Linked DNA regions of Diceros bicornis minor. The protein of the gene in region 1 purifies or fractionates together with the protein of each later gene. This does not show direct contact. Links are inferred from orthologs where the notes say so. Each region holds a gene or a part of one and is shown on either strand. Other genes may lie near its edges.

Region 1 (7,539 bases):
ACAATTCTGTTTCTGTCCATATAAAGCAACCAAAAGTTGTAGTCATGGGAAGAATTTCCCTGAAACTTGTGAAAGTCATGAAAATTGTGCCTCGTGCAACTTGGGAAAAGAACAAAATGTATACCTAAATGTATCATTGTGGTAATAGTGCTTTGTACAACATAAAAACTGAACTCCTTGGGTTTAATATTCCTTTGTTTTGTGTTAACAATACGCATTCTTCAGTATCTTTTATTTTCCAGGTCAGTAATCTCAAAAAAAGTTTTAATGGACCACCTTGCATTATTCTATAGTGAACCATCATGTGATTCAAAGCCCTTGTCTCATAATAAATGAAAGCAAGTACTGCACTCTGGACCTGCCATTTAATTCAGGAATGAATTAAGAATTCTTCCTGTATAGTTGCTTACTGTATATGCTTCAAAAGCTGAGAAATCTTAATGTACTCAACCAGTTATTGCACTCCAGTGAAAATTTCTCACCTCTGAGTAGTTATACAATATGGTTAAATTAAACCCTGACACAACAAATAGAATAATTTCTTCTAACATTTCTCTATTTTATACTAATATAGAAATGAAGACCACTAATCAACTAGTGTATGCAAGTCACTGCAATAGTTGCACAATTGCCTGTGGGTAGAGTATCAGAGAAACTGAGTGTGGTGAGGTAGGATGTTTTCCCTTTTACGTCCTGAGTGAACTTGAAGGGATTAAAACCAAATTCATGTCAACTTTATATCAAAGAATCCAGATTCTAATTCTGAATACAAATACATTTTTAAAACATGAGGGCTATAAAACCACATATAGCATGGTCAGGGTTTCACTTTTGCATTATGTGCACATTCTGTTTTAATCTGAAACGTGTTATACTTGTATTTCATGTTATATAGTTTTGGGGCCGGACTGTGTTTTTCCACAAAAAGAAAAATCAACTGTTTTTCCACCTTAATATTCAACCTACCTGCCCATAGTTGTCTATGCCAGTTACTAATCTATTTAAATTTAATAAATCAAAAGCTGTCCTTAGGGATTGGCCAAGAGTCGTAAGTCCTTCAGCCTGAAGGTTTTTCAGTTCATTCATAAACGTTGCATGGTTTTCTTTCCATCCGGCCTGAAAAGAAAAATGTAAGAATTTTTTTTTCATCTTTTAGAGTCCTGTGTACAAGGACAGGCGTTACAATCTGCCGTTCACCAGGTAGCTGCTTCACTTTACAGTATGGTTTGGTTAACGTGTCAATACCGGATCGCTGCTGAGGGAACTCTCTTCCAAAAGTGGCCAAGAATAAACCTGCTGGCTCTACAGTTTCTGGTAGCGAACAACCTTAACACTTTAGAGCTTCCCTGGGAAATTCACTCCCTAACCTAATACCCAAAATCTGGGGATGCAAAGGTACTAGTGGAAAGCAGAAGTGAGCAGGACTTCGGAAGTTAACCTACAGCTGTCCCACCGGCCCCGCGGCCCTCTCAGCACGAATCCGAAGACCAAGCCGCGCAGCCCCCCACCCCGCTCGCCGGCCCGCCAGCCTGGCGAGCGCGGCCAAGCCTCGGGCCGATGCCCCTTTAATGCAAACCGGGGCTCGGCGCGGCCGGGCCCGGCTGTCACTCGGGCTAACTTGAATAAATATCCCCCACAGTTCATTGCTGCCGCTCACGCCGCGGAGGGGAAATGTCGGCCATGTTGATCGCAGCGCCGCCGCCGCCGCCACCGCCGCCGCCGCCGGGTCGGGCTGGGGAGGGGACGGCGGTGGCCCGGCGACTCTGCGCCGCGCCAGGACGCTCCGGAGCGAGGGGAGGGAGTGGGCGCCCGCAGGGGAAAAGACCTCAGCGCCTGGAGCACAGCGGGTGGGGGAGGGGAGCATAATGAAGGGTGAATGGGGGGGCGGGGAGGGCGAGCGAGGAAGGAACAGGCAAGGGAAGGAAGGGGGAGGGCGAGGGCTGTTACCTTGATAGCATAGGGCGGCTCTTCGAAAGTGACCAGCATATACCTGTCTCCTCGGCTGGCAGGGTCCCGGGCACGGAGCTGCGGGAGAGCGGGTGGGGGACGGGAGGAGGAACAGGGCGGGCGAGAGGGAAGCAGAGAGGCGAGGTTACGAGGCGGAGAAGGGGCGCCCAGCGGCCCCACCGCCCCCCACAGTACCGCACACGCAGCGGCCACCCCTCCGCGCCGCCCCCCGCACACAGATCGGCCCCCACACACCGCCCGGGGCCGGAGCCCGGGCCCGGGCCGAGCCCGGCTCGCAGCGCCCGCCCGCCCGCCCGCGCGGTGGGGGAGGGGGTCCCCGAGCCCGGCGGCTCCCGCAGTCAGGTCCCCGACACCTCCGCCTCGCCGCCCCCGGCCTCCCTCCCCCCACCCCTGCCGCCCGCGGCTGCCGGGCCGGGGTCGCCGCCCGGGCTCGGTCAGTCGGTACCTTCATGAAGGTCTCTACCGCGCCTTTGGCCGTGTCCAGGTAGGTGGTGCCCAGATGGCTGCGCTGGTTCATAGAGGCAGACGTGTCTATCAGGAACAGTAAGATGGGCATAGTGCTGGCCGGGGACACCGGGGCCCGAGGTGGTGGAGCAAGAGGAGATGGTAGAGGTGGAGGCGCCGGTGGCGGCGGCGGCGACCGCCGCTACGCGGGGCGGGGGAGCGCGGCCCCCGGGAGGAAAACACCGTCTGGGTCTTTCCTCCGGCTGCGGGGAGTTTCTCCCCCGATAGTTGAGAGGAAACTCCCCAGACCCAGTCCTCCCCGTCGTACCCCCGCCTCCGCCTCCTCCTGCCTGCCTGCCCGCTGGGGCGGGCGCCCGGCCGTCTGTCTGTCGGTCCGTCCCCCCCGCCTCGGGGGTCCCGTCCCCGCTCCCGGCCCCTGTGTGTGTCCCAGCGGGAGACGGGCCTGGCTCCCCACCCCACCCCCGGTGCAGGGAGTGGGGACCTGGGAGCTGGCGAAGAGGGGAGTGGGCTGAGGGGAGATTGGCCCTGGGGCTGTTGGGAGAAGTTTCAGGGACTCCCTCCGCACCCCGGCGGTGTCACCACTTTCTCAGCCCCTCTCGCTACTGAAGCGCTTTTCTCTCTCACACTCCGGTTTTAACTCGGGCAGGGGCTGCAGAGGCTCCGCCCCCTGACACGTCCTTGAGCCATGTGACGTACCGCCCCGCTATTCTATTGGGCAGTCCCCAGCCTCTTATTAGCATATTCAAACAGCTCAGGGGCGGGGGAAGCTTGTGGGCCGGCTCCGGGAACAGTTATTGAGCACGCGCGGAGGCGGGGCGTCGGGTGCGCGCGAGAGGGAGCGCGAGGGGCTAGCAGGCGGGCCGGGAGACACGGAGGCGGGCTCCGGGAAGGGGCGGGGACGGACCGCGGAAGCACCGCGGGGTGGGGGCGGGGGCCGCGTCGGCGCGCGCAGGGTGGCCGCGGCTGTGAGTCTGCGCGTCAAGGCGGCCGCCCTCGCCTTGGCTGTTGGAGGTGATAGGGGTCGGCGGAAGGGAAATGGAGGCTGGCCTCAGCTCTCCTTCCGACGTCGCTGAAGCGAACCCTTTCCCCGGTGGGCGACTGAGAAGGGGATGAGTGACGTGATCAAACACCCAGTTAGGAGAAGGGGGCAGGGCCGCGGTCGCCCTCCCGGGAAGGGCTGCGAGCCCACGGCATCGGGAGGAGTTTCCTTGGGCCTCGGAGGGCCGGCCCCAGTGCGGGCGGGCCCGGGGCGGGGGAGGGGAAGTGAGAGGTTGTTTATAACCAGGGACTAATCTCCGAGAGTCACACCGCTCCCGCTGGGGAGTGGGGACCAGAGGCGTACCTCGCCCGCAGTCTTGCTTGGCCCTGGGGGAGCGACCAAGGGTAAGGGCTGGAGCTGGAGCAGGGCAGAAGCCCCCCTCGTTGGAGGACCCTCCAAAAAGGGTACAAACCCCCTTCCTAACAGCCCTAAAAGAGTCTGGGGGAAGCCTCAAATATCGATAAACAGTTTGTACCCTTGTTATTCTCAGGGAAAATTAACCGGTGTTACCCAAAGGAATACCTTTCTCAAGCCATGTTTACCTAGGGCCATAGAATATCAATTTCAGAGCTAAAAGGGACCTAAGCCAGTCATAATCCATTACTCTTATTTTAAAATGAAAAAACTGACTTCAGTTTGCCCAGGTAACACAGAGTGTTCCCCATAACCGTGCCGGTGCACTTTCCTTTCACTGTATGGTGTCTCTCGGAGTCGTTCCAAATACTGTATGAGGGAAAACGTTCTCGGTTATTGAAGCAAGCCCCTATCATCATGCCTGGGGTAATGAATCCTCTCTCCTAAATGTCAGAGAAAACGGTTTCCTCAAATATACTCTTTGAAAGACTGAAGACTGCCTGAAATGCAAGTTGAATTAAGGACATACAACCCTTATAAGACCAGGTAGATTTTTATAGGACCTCTTCTACTAGCCTTGCATTTCGATTTTTATATTCTTTATCCTGAAATTTTTAGTTATTTGCCTACCGATCATTTAAAGAAATTGGTCCTTTTGACGTTAACACAGAAGAGACATGGTTTGTGGCACTTTTTTAAAATCTGGAGTTTCATAACTTGGACTTTTACTAATATTTAAGACAACCTATGAAGTTTTTGTTAATTTATAGTAGGGCTATTTCAGTAATATGCTGTTTTGTATGTACCATAGAAGAAGGAGATGTTTTTAAGAGATTTGGACTAGAAATAAGATGAACTACAGGTCTTACATCCAATATTTGCTGAGGACTGGTGGAGTTAAAAAATTATGAAAATATGGTCCCTGCCTTCAAAGAGCTTATGGTTTTTCTAGAAAAATATTACACGTCAATTATTAGCTACTACAAGGCAGAAAGTGATCAGATAGTAAATAATTTAGAAAAGAGAAAAATTTATTACCCTGGGGTGACGAAAGAACAAGTTTCCAGGGTCAGTGTGTTTAAGCGGTGCGTTAAAGCAGTGTTTCTCAAACTGAGATCCTAGACCTAGAGATAAGAATCAGTTCTTTGATACTCTAAAATTTTTGTTTTCATTTTAATGACAATATACAAATCACTTTACCAGTTATAAGGACAAAATTTTTCTTTCAAAGTGATAATTCACATCTGAAAGAAATTTTCATATAATTGGTCTTCAGTTTTCTGTATCAGTGCTTTTCAAATTGTGTTCTATGGACCTATGCCTGTCGGAAAATGTAATCTCTAAAATCATAAGAATTTCTTTTACATTATTCAGATTTGAGAAACACTGCTTTAAAGGATTGGTAGGATTTGAATATGTGGGTAAAGAAAGAGGAAGTTGCTCATGAAAAAGTCCTAGACATTGAAAATGTAGTGAAGAATGAAAGCACAGCATTGCCAATGCTTCCTGGGGTACAGGGAAGTTCAGCTGGGCTGGCGCACCTGGTACACAAAGAATAGTATAAGATCCAGAAAGTAGGTCAAGTCTAGATAGTACAGGGCTTTTATTCCAGGTTAAGGATATTTTTCCATATAAACTAGAGTTTTAGTTGAGGCGCTGAGTACAAAGTAGTGTTTAAAGGAAATCAAACTAGACTACTGAAGTAGGTGAGCATGCATTAACAATGACCTTACCTATTACAGTTATTTGAAATCATTTCCAATGGAGCCATCATGGCTTTTTCTTCCCTGACTCAGGGGAATTGGCAGATTGTCATACTAGGGTCTGGTAGAGCCAGGATTAGATGCAGAGATCAGGAGAGCCAAGTCCAATGAGCCAACCTAGAGCATATAACCACCTAAGATCAAAGGCCAGGTTTCCAGTTCAGAAGCCCAGAAGTGCTGGAAGCCAAAGCCCCGAGGCAGAACAGGAAAGAAATCAGGATGTACACAGGGGGCAAATCAAGAGGCAATCAGAAACCAGGAAGCATTGATGAGTGGTCCCTAGACAGAATTGTGAAATAGGCCAAGGTTATTCTTAGTGACTCTGGTTGACAGTTAAGCTGTTGGTTTGATGATAGCTTAAAGCAGTAGTTCTGGGCCAGGAGATGCACATCAATATTACCCACAGAACTTAAAAATAGTAATAAATATACCAAATCCCCATACCTGGAGGAAAGTGATTCGGTAGAATTGGGATGGGCCCTGGTCATCTCATGCTTTAAAAAGCTCTTCAAGTGAATCTTATAAATAATCATTAAGAACTATATGCTTAAAGTATAAGAATAATGTATGTGCCTAGCATCTAATAGTACTCACTAAATAACTTTAAAAATTCACACCCTCTTAGAGTTATTACATTTCTTAAAAGAACTCCTAAAACAAATCTGCAAATTAAAGGAAAAAAAAAACTATAAATGTGACAGCAATATAGATAACAGTAGATTTGATTCATAAGCGTATTTAAATTGCTTAAATTCTTGACCAAAAAATAAAAAGAAGTAAACAGTGCCAGAGATTCCCACTGTTCCCGTCAGTGAGCTTAGGCCTTGGAGTAAGCATAAGATGTGAAACATGAATCTCTTCTTCACTCAATCTCTGTGATTCCAGAATGTGATTCTAGAAAGATTCTGGTTATATTCAGGCTTATTTTTCTAAAACTTGCAAGCCAACTATTTCATCAGACTCAGCTGAAGAAACTGAGCTCCTGCAGTGCTCGAGGGAGACGTAGTAGGAGTATTGTGGGCTAACCCTGTCCTGTTGCAGTCTAGTGGCTTAGGAAAGATTCTCCTGGGAGGGCAATGATCAGAAGAGGTATGTGGGGGAAAACTTGCTCTTTGCTGCTGTTTTTAAAAAAATGCTGCCCAAATGCTATGCCCCCAATTTAAAAGGGAAGGAATAAATTATAGGAAACCTTCTGAAAGAATGGTGACTCTGGCTTAAACAATAGGCTAAATTGTTGAAATGGAGCTATTCTAACAGAATTAAGAACTGATGAATTAGATTCATTTGTAGGAGCCAACCAGAGCCCTTTTAAATTATTTTAAACCAATTAAGCAGGGCAACACGGTTTAAAAATGATTATGTGCCAATGACTTGGCTTATGGTCTCTGCATGCGCTATCTGAACAGAATAGTCAGATCAACCTAGTGTTCCCTCATGTGTAACCTAACAAAGTTTCTTTTGACTGTCTTACCATTTTCCCAGCTCTCTGCTTTACTCTTTGAGATCACAATAGTCAATGATGTTGAGGTTGAGAACATCAAAAAAACATGAAGCAATAAGCATAAAAAGTTAGATGTGAAATTATGCAGCAGAATGTATTCAGATAGTACATATATAAGGAAATTTAATTTTGGTCATCCTAATATTAAATAGTGTCAATCCTCAGAAAAAAATGCTGCTAGAGACCACTATTATAAAGAAATCAGGGCTGGCCCCGTGGCTTAGCGGTTAAGTGCTCGCGCTCCACTACTGGCGGCCCGGGTTCGGATCCCGGGCGCACACCAATGCACCACTTCTCCGGCCATGCTGAGGCCGTGTCCCACATACAGCAACTAGAAGGATGTGCAACTATGGCATACAACTGTCTACTGGGGCTTTGGGGGGAAAAAAAAGATAAATTAGACCTTTCCAACGAACAGTATTTCACAGAAATAGCTGAAGTCTCAGAAG
Region 2 (7,733 bases), on another chromosome or scaffold:
TTTTAGGCAATCTGAGTTAAAATAGGAATTTAATTTTGAGGGAAAAATCACCACCATATAATGTAACTTTCTATAGAGTAGTATTTCCGACAGACTCCAAAAAATCATGTTATTAAAAAAAAAAGAACTAAAACCTAGTCACAAAGAATTAAACAATAAGGTGATCTACATAATCAGGTTTGACTTTTCACTTTTCTCTTATATTCTTTCTACGCGCCTGCCATTCTTGACCTGGAAGGGTAGAGCAGGTATCAAGTAGACCAAGTGATGGTAAGGTTACTTCACAAAATTGCTACTAATCCCAGTACTTTGTGCTTCAGGTAACAAGGATCACAAGAAATAGTGAGTGAAACTGTATTTTTAACAATTCTAGAGCCACTACATATAAAATCTTTTTTTAAAGTACATTCTCCACAGAGAAGTCACATCATCACATCTATTTCTTTGCATCTTTTTGCAAAAGAAAATGAGGGGACAGATTTAAAACAAAATGAAATAGCTATTTTTATTTAGCTTTTCTTCATTTAATATTCATTGCGTGCTTATTTCTTGTCAGGACTTAACAGGGGTGGTATCTTAATACTCACAACCAACACAGAAGATCAGGAAATTTTATCACCTCTGTCTTACAGATGAGGAATCAGAGGTGCAGGGAGACTGGCAGCTGCCGAGCTGCAGGGCCAGGGTGTGAACTCAGATGGGCTGACCACCAGAGCTCACTGCAAGCAAACAGGACACTCCTCAGGAACATGGAGGATCAGGGTAGGGACGTAAAATGGAACTAGAGCCTAAGGTTAGAAGACAGAACATATATACCACAAAGGGACGCCACAGTTGCTAGAAGAGGGCTGCAAAACCAAGCACTGCTTAAAAAGGTAGAGAGCAAGGAATCCTATCACACTTCTCCACCCACCAGCAACTCCATCAAAGGGGTGGAGGAGAAAGATAAATGATTGTGGATTTTCACGTAAAAACTCATGTTTAGTGGATAAGTACAAATATTCAAAGAAAAAAGTGGGTAAGACATAAGCTTAAACATACCTATAAAGTCCTAGGGATTGGTAGTTCAATTATTTAGGAGCTGAAGTAAAAAATACTCTCGACAAACACAGAAAGCTTCCTCAAGTGATTAAGACTCAAGTGTGACTGAGTAGTGGTACAACATTCCTCTCTAGAAATACATCTCCAAATGATTAGAGCGTCAAAGGGAAAAGCTGACTCAGCTACTGACTGTGTCCATTAACTTGGTGAAGTGCATGTCTATGTTCATAGTGAGGTTAACTGACTCAGCTAATGTCAAAACTGGATATTTCACTCGACACTGGAGCTTGAGAGAGAGAGATTTAAAACGTAAATTTTAAGACATGAAATTATAGGTTATGACTCAAGGAAACTGAATGTCTACTTGAAGCTATAAGCAAACAGTTTTTTCAGAAAAATACCAGTTGTTCAGCAATTCTATTTACAGAAATAAATTTTCCTGTGTTAACAAATAGTTATTTAATATACAAAGGCCCTAGGCGACATTTACTTGTTAAAAACACTATTTTAACTTAATATTAGCTATTACTCCTCCAACCCTAAGATGCTTTATTTTAAGAGTGCCCTATTAATAATACTAACAACATTTCTGGGGCATCCTGACTTCCGAACACTATGATCAAGAAAGTTTTATAGATTATGGCTTAAAAATACAAACAAACCCAACAGCATTAAAGATTAAACTCGTTACTCCTTCCTGGACTTCAAATGAGGTCTTTTAACATATAAATGTATGAAAATTATTTAGTCCAGATTATAAAAGATGAATGAGAAAAACTCTAGACTTTAACGTAAATAAGATAGACCGTCTGAAATAATTCCAGTGGTTAAGAACAGTCGATACAGAATTCAGAATGTTGTTTAAGATCATACAACCAAGAACGACTGTAAACAACTAAAACAAATAAAAACTCCTTTTTCTTCGGAAAAGAAAGCTTTACATGTAATAAAGATGGAAAAGACTTTCTAAAAAGTGCTGCTCTGCACGAAAAATACATACCCCATTTATCATTTCAAGCAAGCACTGTTGCCAAACTTTAGACTTGCTGTTTTATTTCTGAAAATCAACATTTTGCTTCCAAGAGCCACTCAACGCGAAGACCAGTTACCATCTGTTTCAACCAAAGTCAACCTCTATTTTAAAAACCACAGCCTGCCATCACACCCACCTCTCCACAAACAAATGCCTGACGCATTCCAAGGTCGCGATTTTTGAAGGGCCCGATTCACCTGAAAAAAATCCTACGTTTATGAACAGGTTCGTTAATATGAGCAACATCCAGGTTAATTTTCGGTGCATTTTCAGACAGGAGGTCGCATCAGACTAAGTGGCCGCATTCCACAGGGCCGCGCTCGCTAGTCCACGCTGACCTGGAGGGTCAGGAACCCCCAGAAGAGCGTCGGTGACCCCATTCGAGCTCACGCGCGGGTGCCAGGTCTCCCCCGGCCACCCACAGCGGACCCCTGGGCCAGTAACGTGAGCGCAGCGCCCCGGGCCCCGGAACGGCCACCGCCGCCGCCGGGAGCACGGGCCCGGGGCAGGGCGGCCGCCCCCGCGCAGCCCTCCTTCCTCTCCTACCTTCTCGCACAGGGTCCGCACTTGGTTCTCGTTGAGCTGTTTACACTCGTTCAGCTGCTCGACCCACTGGTCCAGCTCCTTGGTGAACGCCTTGTCGTCCATGGCGGCCCGCGGCCCTCCCCCCGCCCCGGCGCCGCTCCCCGCTCCCGCTCCCGCTCCCGCTCGCCGCTCCGGCCGCCGCCGCCAGCTCCCGGCGGGAGAGGAAGGAGCCGGGGCGCGCGGCCGCGGGCCCCACGCCCCGCCTAAGGCAGCGGGCGGCGCCGGGAGCGCGGCCCCGAGGAGCCCCCCGGCCGGCCGCGCGCCCCGCGAGTCGCTGAAGGACGCGGGGCGGTGGGGGGCAGCGCGGCGCGGGGCTTCGGCGCAGCTCCCGCCGGACGATGGCCACCCGCCGGCCACTCCCGGCTCTCTCACCCCTTCGCTCTCGCTCTTTCTCTTCCCTCCCTCCGGGTTTCCGTCATCGCCCGGGCATTTCCGCCGGGAAAAGGGGAGCAGGCGGCGCCGCCAGGGAGCGGGATGCGAGCAGGGCTGCAGCGCCCCCGTGTGGCTCGGCGGAGAAACGAGCCGAGGGTCGCCCCGCTTTCTCCCCCTTCCCTTCTCTATGCCCGGTTCCCGCTTCGGGTCCGGACCAAGCTCTCCTGGTTCTTTCCTCACATCCTTTTCTCTGGGAACTTCGCCCCCACCTTAGTCTTCTGCAGTGCTTTTTCAGCGCTCTGGAGAGGGAATTAGGAAGCTTGTGCCTTTCCTCGACAACATTGTCTCGCCGGAGTCTAGCCCTTTCCCATAGCAAGCATTCAATATTTATTGAGTGAATCAATGAATTCTTTCTAGCCTTATCTCTGCTACTAGCTAGCTGTGGGGCCCTAACATCTCGAATCCCCGCTTTCAGCATCAGAAAGATGAAATGATTGTTCTGTATAATATGAAGCTGTGTTGTGCCAACTTCTTAGCTGTGTCCTTGGGCAATCACCGAATTTCTCCAAGCCTCAGCTTCTCCGTCTAACAGGGCTCAGTAAGGCTTACCTTTTCATGTTGTGAAGATTAAATTTTACAAGTACCCACCCAGTAAGTACAGTACGGGAGCAATGTGTTAGTTGCCTTATCCCTCCTAAGCCACAGTTACAGAAAGCTTTAGAAAGGTGCCATTTGAACTGAATTTTGAACCTTTCCCCAAGGCAAAACTTTGAAGTTGCCTGGAGAAGAGGAAAGAAGTTCCAAGGAATTTTTTTTGTGTGTGAGGCAGAGGACAAATGTGTGATCACGGTCCGTTTGGAAAGCTATACATATTCCTATCAACAGAAATAGGGAAATAAGGCTGGAAGAGCTCCTGCTCTCAACGGACTTGTAAATAGTAGCTAACCAATTGAAGAAGAAAACATGAAGAGGTAACGAAACAACACTGAAGAGAAGGGGCACCTGTATAATTGCAATAGACATTGCAGTCTCTGAGGTTAGTCTATAAAGGTTTAAAGGGGGCTGGATTTCAGCTAACCCTGGAAAGCTCAGAATGAAAATGAGAATGAGAAGGGCGTTTTCAGAGTTCCTAGAGAAGATGGACTGAGAACAGAAAATATACCTTGAGGAGAAATGGGAACTCTATGTTATAGTGGTTAGGGAGGGAGGTCCTTGAAATAAAAGCAAATGTGTTCGGAATAACAAGAGCGGATGTTCTTAGAGTGGAAGATAGGTAGGCAAGCTTGTGAAAATAGTGCTTCTGAAAAGCTTAGTCAACTTACACTGTAGAGCAAATAAAGATGCTTTTTTTTTTTTTTTTTGGTGAGGAAGATTTGCCCTGAGCTAACATCCTTTGGCAATCTTCCTCTTTTTTTTTGCTTGAGGAAGATTAGCCCTGAGCTAACATCTGTGCCAATTTTGTATGTGGGATGCCTCCGCAGCATGGCTGATGAGTGCAGTAGGTCTGCGCCTGGGATCCGAACCTGCAAACCCAGGCCCGCCAAAGGGGAGCACGCAGAACTTTAACCACTTGGCCACGGGGTGGGCCCCGGGATGCTTTTTTGAGTGCTTCCTATGTGCTAAGCGTTTTACATTTGTCTTCTCATTTAATCCTCCAGTAATCCTATGAGACAGGTGCCATTATTGCTCTCCACTTTACAGATGAAGAAAGAGACACACAGAAGTTTAAAAGCACACTCAAGTCACACAGATAGTAACTGGTGGAGTAAGGATTAACACCCAAGTTTGTCTGACTTCTACTCTGTGTTTTATGTTATATGAGCTCTACAGTCTGACGGGAGTAGGGAAAGCTGGAGATTGGTAGACCAGCCAAAGGGCTTGGTGATTGTAATATCAGTTTTTGGTATTTCGGTTGTGAAGCCATCTTAATTAAAAATAAAAACTATAATTCTTAAACTTCTTTCTTTCTTTGCTCTTTGCTTCTGTCATGTATGTATGTATGTATTATGTATGAATATGTTGTGTGTTTTCTCCTGTGGAACATAACCATCAATCTCCAATCCTTGCTAAGCATGTCATGCAAAACTGCATTTAATCTTAGGTTTGCAGGCCAGTTCTAAAGTTCTTTGTTTACCAGAAGTGTTCTCATTTTTACTTTGTTTACCTCTTTCCTTTTGGTCAAAGAATTTTAAAATCGTTGACTTCAGCAGATCCTTTGCCTTAAAATTACATGTTAGATTTTGTTCCTACATAATTGACTAAGTTCTTTTAAAATATATAAACATTGATATTTTTCTTGATTTAAATGGTATTATGCCATTTAAAAGTATGAAATATGAATCATTTATATTTTGTAACATATCCAGAGAGTTATATGCTACATTTAAAATTATATGTTGTATTGGTTTAAAAATGATTCTTCTATACCACCATATTCTCAAAAGACTAAATAAATATCTTTATTTCTAGTTCAAAAACTTTGACAATGGGAATGTGAATACGGTATTATTGAAATTGCTACAGGGAATTCTGCATCAGAATCCCCATCAATAATGATGAGACTAAAAAGACAAAGTCAAATTGGAAATGCTTTCTTTGAATTTAAAAACTATAAATCACTGTTAATAAAAAGACCACAGTTCTTTTCTCCTCTTATCACTCTACCACCCAAAAAACTTGGTTCTAAAAACTCCCTTCAAATTTATTGAGGAAGAGATGGAATTATTTGAAGATAAAGGAATCAGAACAGATGCTGTGTTTAATATTTTGTCCTTCTTTGTTGACCTCAGTTGGAGGCTTGGTTCAAATTCCCTAGCATACCACTGTGGAAGTGGAGTCCTTTATAAACATTTTATACCTAGCTATTCTATATTGTGTATCTGACAATTCCCACACTGCCAGTTCTTAAGTGACTAAAGATGTTTTTCTTGTTTCTGCTGACTCTTACTCATAGTGGCTTGCCTTCTAGTGTGTATGCATTCACAGCTTGAATGGATTGTGACAGTACTGTGGGCCTACCTTGGGAAGACTTTCCTCTAGAAAGTTTGCTTCTGTATCTGCAGAAATATCCAGGAAATATTCCTAAGCCAACACCACTTCAGCAAGAGTTTTGGCTCAGAATAGGAGTGTCAGCTCCCCCACCTCAGTGTCCCTGTAGCAGTGTCTTTGGGAATCCAGCCTCAGAGCAATGTCATTCCTTCTGGCAGCCGTGTTGTTCAGGTGAGCTCCCTGCTGATTTAGTCAGGCCATGGCTCTTGGCCCTGTGGGCTTAGTTTCCAGCTGTTCTGTCCCAAGCATCTAGTTCTTCTCAAATCTTCAGATGGCTCAAGCCCAAGATCCTTTCCACTCCAGCCCATGTCTACCCATTCTGGGCTAAATTCATGCTCGTTTATTTTTGGGAAATCCATGGAGATCTATCCTAATTTGTAAGACCAATGAAGCCTCAAAAAAAAAAAAAAAAAAAAAAAGGTGTCCTGTTCTGGGTCTAGTTGTTTTGGAGCAGGCAGTTCCTGTAGAGCTCCTGGACATTTATAACACTGAAAGTGAAAATCTATGTTTTAAATATTTAAAAATTTGTACAGCCATGTTGATGCTTTTTCCTCTATGTAATAGAATTTTTTGTAATCTCCCGCTGTGGGCTTTTAAAAGCTGAGGCCTACAATATTCTCAAGACTGACACAGCTCAGAAGTTGATTTCTCTGTCACCGTGGAGCTTCCATCCCTCCTCTGAAACCTGGGATACTTCCAAAAATAACTACTGGAGAAGAAGCTGTGGTCACTTCAATTCTGAGAGCCGCTTAATTGCCCCATCATCATAACTTCTGGCAATGGCTTTAATCTATTCTATTCAATTAGTTACTGTTCTCACTTGCCACACACTTTCTTGGCTCCATGCCTTAATTCATGCTTTACATCTACAGGAAGTACTTTTTTTCCTCCTCCATGCATGCATAAACCTGCCTCTATCATCAAGGACAAGTGTCAGGATTATCTTTTTCCATGAAGTCCTTTCTCTTACTGACACCAAAAGGAATTCATCTCTCTTTAAAAATTCATACCTTTGGGTCTGTCCTTTTTCCATACCACATACTTTCTAGATCATGTTGTTTATATGAATTTCTTCTTTCTTATTAGAATATAAATTACTTGACCGCACGATCCATGTATATTACATTTGTGATACCAAAAACGTAGGACAAGCCCTTTAGAGAGTAGGTGCTCAGTAAATATTTGTGAGTGAATTTGAGGAAAGTAGCAAGAATGAAAGTAAACTGCTGGTCTGACTAAAAGGATTAGTTTCAGTATTTAGGATTGATCCACCACTATGGAAAGCCTCAATATTTGTTTCATCTTCTTTCTTTTAAAAGGTACATTTTTGCTTTTGTTATGGTTTTGATGCCATATTTTTCATTCTAGCCAACACTGGTAGAGCAGGGATTGTTAGCAGTCTAGCCAGTACCCACGGTACCTTTCTTAACAATTCTGTTTGTAGTGAAAAATGCCCTGCTTAAAGAATACCTAGGAGTGGCCGTGTGGTGTTATTCTGGCAAACGCACCGTAAGGAGAACTAGCTGAGTGCGGCTCTACGGGAAAGCTTGTTAAAGGGAGTAAACTCAGAATGCTCCTGCCTGGGACTCATTGCTGGAGATGGAACAGCCATTTTGAGGCCACTAGAAAAAAAGCAAGAGGCTACAGGCCACAT
Region 3 (6,995 bases), on another chromosome or scaffold:
CCACAGTCCAACATGACGTTCTTGCCCGCAATGGAGACCAGGATGCAGCTTCGGCCCACATCCTGGCCGGCCCCTGCACAGGAGAGTGAGTTAAGAGGCGCTGCCTGCCCTTCTCCCTTCCCCCCGGCCCCTCCCCTGCTCCTGCAAGCAATGGCCCCAGCCCCAAGGCCAAGGCCCAGCCACCCGCCCCAGACCCCACGGGGCGCCCTGGGTCCCTGGCCCAGTAGAGCCCTCAGGAGACTGGGGAAATGGCCCCAGGGATGCAGTGTGGACGACGTGTGAGCCAAGAAGCATCACCACCTCCACATGCGGGCAGGCAAGGGACAAAGCGTCAAGGCCACCAAGCGAGCTCTAGTCCACATGCGCCTCTGCCACTACTGCCCAGGGTCAGGTAGAAGAAGCCCCTGACCTCTCAAGGTCACCGCCTTGACACTGAGTCGTGGGTGCTAGACTGTGGTCTCAGCACCAACAGAGGCAAGCCGGGGCTCTGTGGAAACTCACCATCCCTCCTGAAACCTCGGCTGGGGTCACATCTGGGCTGTGATGCCCCCTCTCCCAGGACCTGCCCCCAAGAGGGGTCAGGCGCCTCCTGGTGGTGCCACTGCAGAGGGACACCTGTGTGGCTTTAGCCCTCAGCCCAGGGGAAACATGGCCCCAGCTGTCCAGCGATGGCCAACTATGGTGGCCACAATGCAGACACCTCACCCCAGGGCACATGGGCGACACGAGCTCACCACCGTGCCCCTCACGGCGGCCCCCCAGCCCAGACCGTGACTTAAGTCCCATCCACATTCCTGACCTCCAAGCCCTGCCCAGATGCTCCAGGCAGTGAAACCTCCCCCTGGCAGGGCACATCCTGGCCACCTCATATGGCCATCGGTCACCTCCTCTGGAGTCTGGGGACCCAGAAGGAAAGGGACACGGTCTTGCAAGCCCTGATGACACCAAATCACCTGGTCTCCATCTTGAACCCTACCAGCCTCCCTCTGCCGGCCACCTGAACCTTCAGGTAGCACCACACACACCAGGGTGACCAGGCCACGGCCCAGAGTGGGACATGGGCTGGTCCTCGAGAAGCTTCAGTCACCTGTGAAAACAGCAGATGACACCAGCCAAGAGCTTCGCCTGCCTGCCTCAAGCAGCCCAGCCACAGGTGGCAGCCTCCAGGTCTCTGACAGGCCTGCTGCTGTGCCCACTAGGACGTGCCTCCCTGAGGGCAGGATCTCAGCTGTCTGCCACCTGCTGCACCTCCAGCCCAGGAGTCATGCCTGGCTCAGAGACCCTCCAAACATTTGTGAGAGGGGAAGGGCCACTCCTCTTTACAGATGACGTGGAGCCACAGAAGACACAGGATTGACCCACGGGCACATGGCTCCTAAGCATGGGGCCAGAGACCGCGTTCTAGATTTCAGAGCCCAGCTCTTAGGCGCTGGCTGCCTGGTCCCAACAGCACCCACAACAATCCCAGGGAGCAGAGAGAGTGGCTGAACTGGGCAAAAGACGTGGGGGACAGAGTCGAGGGCACACAAGAGGGGGACAGGACTCAGGAGAAGACAAGGGAGACACTCTGTCTGCGGGGAGCTGACGATCCAGGGCAAGGAGACAAACGACAACCACGTAGGTAGGACACACGCTGAGGGCGTCAGGTGGAGATCAGCACCATGGAGAAAAGTAACGCAGGAAAGGGGACACAGAAACTTCCAAAACCACGACAGGCAACTCCTCCCTGAGAAGACAACTTGCGAGCAGAGTGGAGAGAGACAGCCAAGATGGGAGGAGCAGCTGTGCAAAGGCCCCGGGAGTGACCCGGCAAGACTCTCCAAATCTGGCCCAGGTGACCAGGGAGCCCTCAAGGCAGAAACTGGTGAAGGGAGAGAGTGGAGCAGAAGTGTTTCTGCTTTGATGGCGCTGTGGCTGAGCGACCTTTGGGGTGCACCTAAATGCAGATTTGGGGTAAGAGAACAGTAAGACAATAGGACTGTTTAAGGACAGTGAGTGGCGAGAAGAGGGGCCACATGGGAAAGGGGCTGGTAGGAGGGTCCCACAGAAGCCCCTGGAGAGAAGCCAGGGGCAGGAGAGGGCACGGGGCGGTGGTGACCCCGTACCAACAGCTAGGAGAGGCCATGGGGGTGATGATGCGTATAGCAGCATGGAACGTGCAATCTGACGCAGCAGGCCAGGGGCAGGGGCATTCATCACGGTTGTCAACAGCTCAATATCCACACGAAGGGCAGGGTGGGCTATTCCAGGGAAGACCTCACACCCTGAGAAAGCACGTGGAACCGTGTGGGACATCTGTACAGGAAGATGCTGGCAACACAGGGCCCAGTGAAGGAAGCAGGCTCCCAACCAGTGCATGCCATGCATGCACCAACAACGCCCAGAGACGCCGGGAGGGCTGGCGACCTACACGATCACCCTAGTTGTTACTAGGACCCTGGATTCTGAGTGGTCTTTCCTCCTTTGTACTGTCTTGTACTGCTCGGGCTTTTAAAAGTGCGCATCTATACCTTTTACAAAAAGCAAAACAATTTTTTTAACGTGGCAAAAATCAAGTAAAACAAGGACTGAACCGAGGGTGGGTCTCCAGACTGCGCACGTGGGAGGCTGCAGGTGACCGGGCGGGGACGGACAGAGCGGGTGGCAGGAGAGCGAGCGGTGAGGGCAGAGGCGCCAAGGGGCCTGGCGCGCCAGCCGCGCGCGAAGTAAGCCGAGCGCGGGCGCGGCGAGGACGGAGACCCTGTGCCTCCACGGCACGCCGTCCAGGGGCCAGGCCCGGGGAGGGCTGCTCGGGCGATCCCGTCCTCCCTTCACGGCCGGGAAGCGGGCCGGCCCGGCCCGACCCCGAGCCCACCCGGCGCGCTCCCCGGCCCCTCCACCGGCCGGCCCCCGCCCGCCCCGCGCCCCACTCACCCAGGGGTGTGACCCTGATGTCGGGCATCCTGCCGTCCGCGCCCCCGGCCCCTCGCCTCTGCGTTCCCAGTCAACCCCACGAACCCAGCCGCCGAGCGCGACCCGCGACGACGCACTGCTCAGGCGCAGCCCCGAGGCGCTGGCTTCCGGTGTGCCCGCCGGAAACACGGGCCCGCGCTCCGGGCCTCCTGATTGGGCGGCCGGCAACCAATCCCGGGAGGCGGCGCGGAGGCCGGGGGCGGGGCGCTGGGTTCCCTGGCGGCGGCGGCGGCGGACGTGAGCGGCGGCGGCGGCGGCGGCGGACGTGAGCGGCGGCGGCGGCGGCGGCGGACGTGAGCGGCGGCGGCGGCGGCGGCGGACGTGGGCGGCGGCGCACGTGAGCGGCGGCGGCGGCGGGGGAACCGAGCTCAACCGAACCGGCTGGGCGGGCCTGGGCATGTCCGAGGAGCTAGGCGCGGGACCCCGGGGCGGGAGGGGGCGGCCGAGGACCTGGCTCCCGCGCTGACCCGGACCCCGGGCCCCTGCCCGGTCCCCGGGCCTCCAGCTGGAGCAGGACCCGCTCAGGACCGGGGACCTGCCCGGTGCCGCTTGGAGCCCCCTTCCCGGAAGAGACTTGAAGGACTTCCTGGGCAGGGCTCCGTTCCCACCCCCTAATTCTGGGGTGCCGGGGTGGGTGTCCCCTTCTCTTGGGGGTGTCCAGTCTGCTGGCAGCACAGGGTTCGGATGCTCAGGCCACCCTCGCGCCGAGCCCTGACCTTGGGGCCGTGAATTAGCCCCTGGGAGAGGCTCGGCGGTGCCCTGCATCCTCACCTTCCCAGAGCTGGCCAGCTGCCAGTGCCCAGCCGCATGGTCACTGCCCTTCCTGTTGTTTCCAAGCTCTGAAAGGCCCCTGGCAGCCCCTGTTGGCTGCTGGCTCTGCGCAGGAACTCCAAGCCCACAGGATGTCTGGCGGCTAGGAAGGTAGCCCTGAGGGCCTCAGAGACCATCTGCTTGGTGGACGCAGAACCGAGGCCCAGAGCAAGGGGAGGGGTGTGCCAGAAGTGTCCATAGCACCATCTTCCTGAGGCCGGGCACAGCCGACTCACGTACCTGAAGACAGGGTGAGCTTGCTCTGGGGTCTCCGCCTGATGCCAGACATGCAGCCCAGCCTGTGGGGCCTGCAGGGCCTCAGCACCTGCCAGGCCCCACCAGACACTCCCAGCAGCCTGAGCGGTGGGCAGGACAGGGTGTGCTGGCCCATTTTCCCCAGAGATGAAGGACCAGGTGTCAGGATGGCGAGTGACCTACCCGCAGAGCAGAAGGCAGAAGCTGCCCAGGTACCAGGTGTCCTGCTCTTGGCTGGGGCTCTCGTCACAGCTTGGGCGGCCTCCCTCCCTTGCCAGGTGTCCCACAGGGCTCCAGGCACCAAGGGCACAGGAGCACCCGGGCCCAGTGGGGTGAGAGCTCATCCTGGACGCCAGGTCCCCTGGGCCCGTCGCGTGCTGGCCCTGGGAGCTCAGGGAGGCAGGGGCTGGGGTGCCCAATGGCACCCACTGAACACAGCGCTTGGATGTTTGTGGAGTGAGTGTATGAATGTGAGCAGAATTCAGAGCAGGACTCTAGCCTGTGGCACTTCCGGAAGGTTCTCTGGGGCTAAGGGAGGACCTTGTGGATGTTTTCAGAGTGTGGAAAGATCTTTGGTCCATCCGCCCTTCTGTGTGGGACATGTACGGTTTCAGTAAGAGTGAAAAGACTGGTGTCTGTCCATCCATCCAGCAAATGCTGACCTTGCAGCCTCTGCTCTGGCTTTCAGGATGCAGCAGTGAGCAAGGAATGGTGTGGCCCGCCCCACCACCCTCCCCGGCCCTCCCACCTCACTCCACTGTCTTTTTTTCCATTGTGTTTACCTTCTGTTACCTACCCTGCTGGAATTTCCTGTCTTTGTTATTGTCTCACACCCACCACACTAGAATGTCACCCTGACAAGACAGGGCTGTTTGTCTCACTCATGGTGCACCTGAGTACCTGGAAGAGGGCCTGGCTCTAGGCAGGGACCAAGCAAATATGTTCCAGCTAGTAAAAACAGACACACTCTAGTGAGAGAGACAAACGATAAACAAATAAGCAAGAAACCGTGAGTTGGGATGCTACAAGCAAGATGCAACAGAGTGGTGTGGCAAAGCCTGCCTGACAAGGAGAGGCCTTGCTAAGCTGTCTAGGCACGTGTTCCGGGCAAAGGGTCTGTGGAGTCAGGTTGGTGTGTCTGAGACCGTGTGGCCCAAGGAAGATGAGCTCCTGGGGAGGAGGGGCTGACCTGGGGATGGGGCTTCCTGTGGGGAGCAAGAGGATCCCAGCTGGTTCTTTCCACCGGACCTGCTTCCACCCTCAAGATAACAATCTGAGGAGTGAGATGACTCAGTGAGAAAGCCCCTCATCCTGGCTCCCCTTGTGTTTCAGTTCGTATTGAAAAATGGACGACTTGGAGTCGGACTTCAATCTGAAAGTTGTCTTGGTGAGTTTCAAGCAGTGTCTCGACGAGAAGGAAGAGGTGCTGCTGGACCACTACCTCGCAGGCTGGAGGGGGCTGGTCAGGTGCGTGCAAGGGGCCACTGCCCTGCAGGGCCAGCCCAAAGGCGGGGCTTTCCTGGCCACACTTCCCATGTGCGAGACCTGCAGTCTGCACGGCACGTGGATGCACCAGGCTCCTGCCTGCCCAGGGCCGGTCAGCTGTTCTCACTTGCTGCCTCTGCCTCCAGGTGGACATGTGCCCCAGGAGGCAGGAGGTGGTCTTCCCTGCACCCCAGGCTAAGCTCCTGCTTCCCTTCTTGCAGGTTCCTGAACAGTCTGGGCACCATCTTCTCGTTTGTCTCCAAGGACGTGGTGACGAAGCTGCAGATCATGGAGCGCCTGTGCAGCAGCCCCCAGCGGGAGCACTACAGAAGCCTGCAGTCCATGGTGGCCTATGAGGTGGGCAACCAGCTGGTGGACCTGGAGCGGCGCTCGCACCACGCCGACTCAGGCTGCCGGACGGTGCTCCGGCTGCACCGCGCCCTGCGCTGGCTGCAGCTCTTCCTGGAAGGTCTGCGCACCAGCCCCGAGGACGCGCGCACTGCCACGCTCTGCACTGACTCCTACAATGCCTCGCTGGCTGCCTACCACCCCTGGATCATCCGCCGGGCTGTCACTGTGGCTTTCTGCACGCTTCCCACACGCAAGGTCTTCCTGGAGGCCATGAACGTGGGGTCCCCCGAGCAGGCTGTGGAGATGCTAGGGGAGGCCCTGCCCTTCATTGAGCATGTCTACAACATCTGCCAGAAGCTCTACGCCGAGCACGCTCTGCTGGACCTGCCCTAGGGCCGGCGGGCCCAGCAGGGCAGGCTTCCCCTCCTCCAGAGCTGGGCTGGGGCAACCAGGGCCCGTGAGTCCCACCACGGACCTTTCTGGGTGCCCCAAGAACGGGAAGACCACTGTCCGCACGAGCCAAGCCTGTTGGGAGCCACGGACCAAGTGTGGCCTGTTCTGGTCAGAGGAGGCAGGCGCTGGCCGTCTGCTCCACGCCCGTCCTCTTGCTCTGCCCAATGGCATCTTAGCTTTACCCTCTGCCAGGTGACATGAGTGTCTAACAGGCCTCACCTGGTGCGTGAAGTGCAGAGAGCAGGATCAGTGTGTGTGCAAAGGCCAGAGAAGCTGCCCCCACCTGTGAGTCAAGTCTGTGAGATGGGGTGAGGTCACAGGTCCCTGGAGTACACAGACTCTGTCCTGGTCGCCAGCCGACGACGCTGGTGCATGTCCTTCCCAGGCCCGGGATGTGGTGTCTGTGCCTAGGTGGGCTGCCTCAGGCCCCTCCACACCAGGCTGGCTGTCCCCAGGGCAGGGAGAGAATCCCTGGGCAGCAGTTGGCACTGCAGGCTCCCTCCCTACCCCTCACCTACTTGTTACTAGGGGCACATGTGTCCTCGGCAGTGACAGTGGGAGCTGAGGCCCTGAGTCAAGGCCTCCCTGCCTTTGTAGCCCTCTACACACGTCAGCTGTCCTCTGCAGCCACGCTGTGGCCCCGAGCTCCTCCAGGCATCTGCCTGTGAGTCTGCACCGCATAGGCCCGA

Evidence for each region.
Region 2: the proteins of INTS6 (region 1) and PPP2CB purify together in Homo sapiens (affinity purification with mass spectrometry; 3 studies listed by BioGRID and IntAct, with this or other methods). This does not show direct contact. The link is inferred for Diceros bicornis minor from reciprocal best matches to the Homo sapiens genes INTS6 and PPP2CB.
Region 3: the proteins of INTS6 (region 1) and INTS11 purify together in Homo sapiens (affinity purification with mass spectrometry; 3 studies listed by BioGRID, with this or other methods). This does not show direct contact. The link is inferred for Diceros bicornis minor from reciprocal best matches to the Homo sapiens genes INTS6 and INTS11.

What each region holds. Positions count from the first base shown.
Region 1 is NC_080748.1:25,856,399-25,863,937, reverse strand, and holds the start of INTS6 (integrator complex subunit 6), read right to left. Parts: upstream 3,021-7,539; 5' UTR 2,525-3,020; coding exon 2,414-2,524; intron 2,026-2,413; coding exon 1,948-2,025; intron 1,117-1,947; coding exon 967-1,116; intron 1-966. UniProt on the Homo sapiens protein: Component of the integrator complex, a multiprotein complex that terminates RNA polymerase II (Pol II) transcription in the promoter-proximal region of genes.
Region 2 is NC_080768.1:28,480,280-28,488,012, forward strand, and holds the start of PPP2CB (serine/threonine-protein phosphatase 2A catalytic subunit beta isoform), read right to left. Parts: upstream 3,021-7,733; 5' UTR 2,723-3,020; coding exon 2,621-2,722; intron 1-2,620.
Region 3 is NC_080752.1:22,289,189-22,296,183, forward strand, and holds the start of INTS11 (integrator complex subunit 11), read right to left. Parts: upstream 3,021-6,995; 5' UTR 2,942-3,020; coding exon 2,914-2,941; intron 74-2,913; coding exon 1-73. Other genes in the region: CPTP (ceramide-1-phosphate transfer protein), read left to right, coding at 5,363-5,484, 5,724-6,246.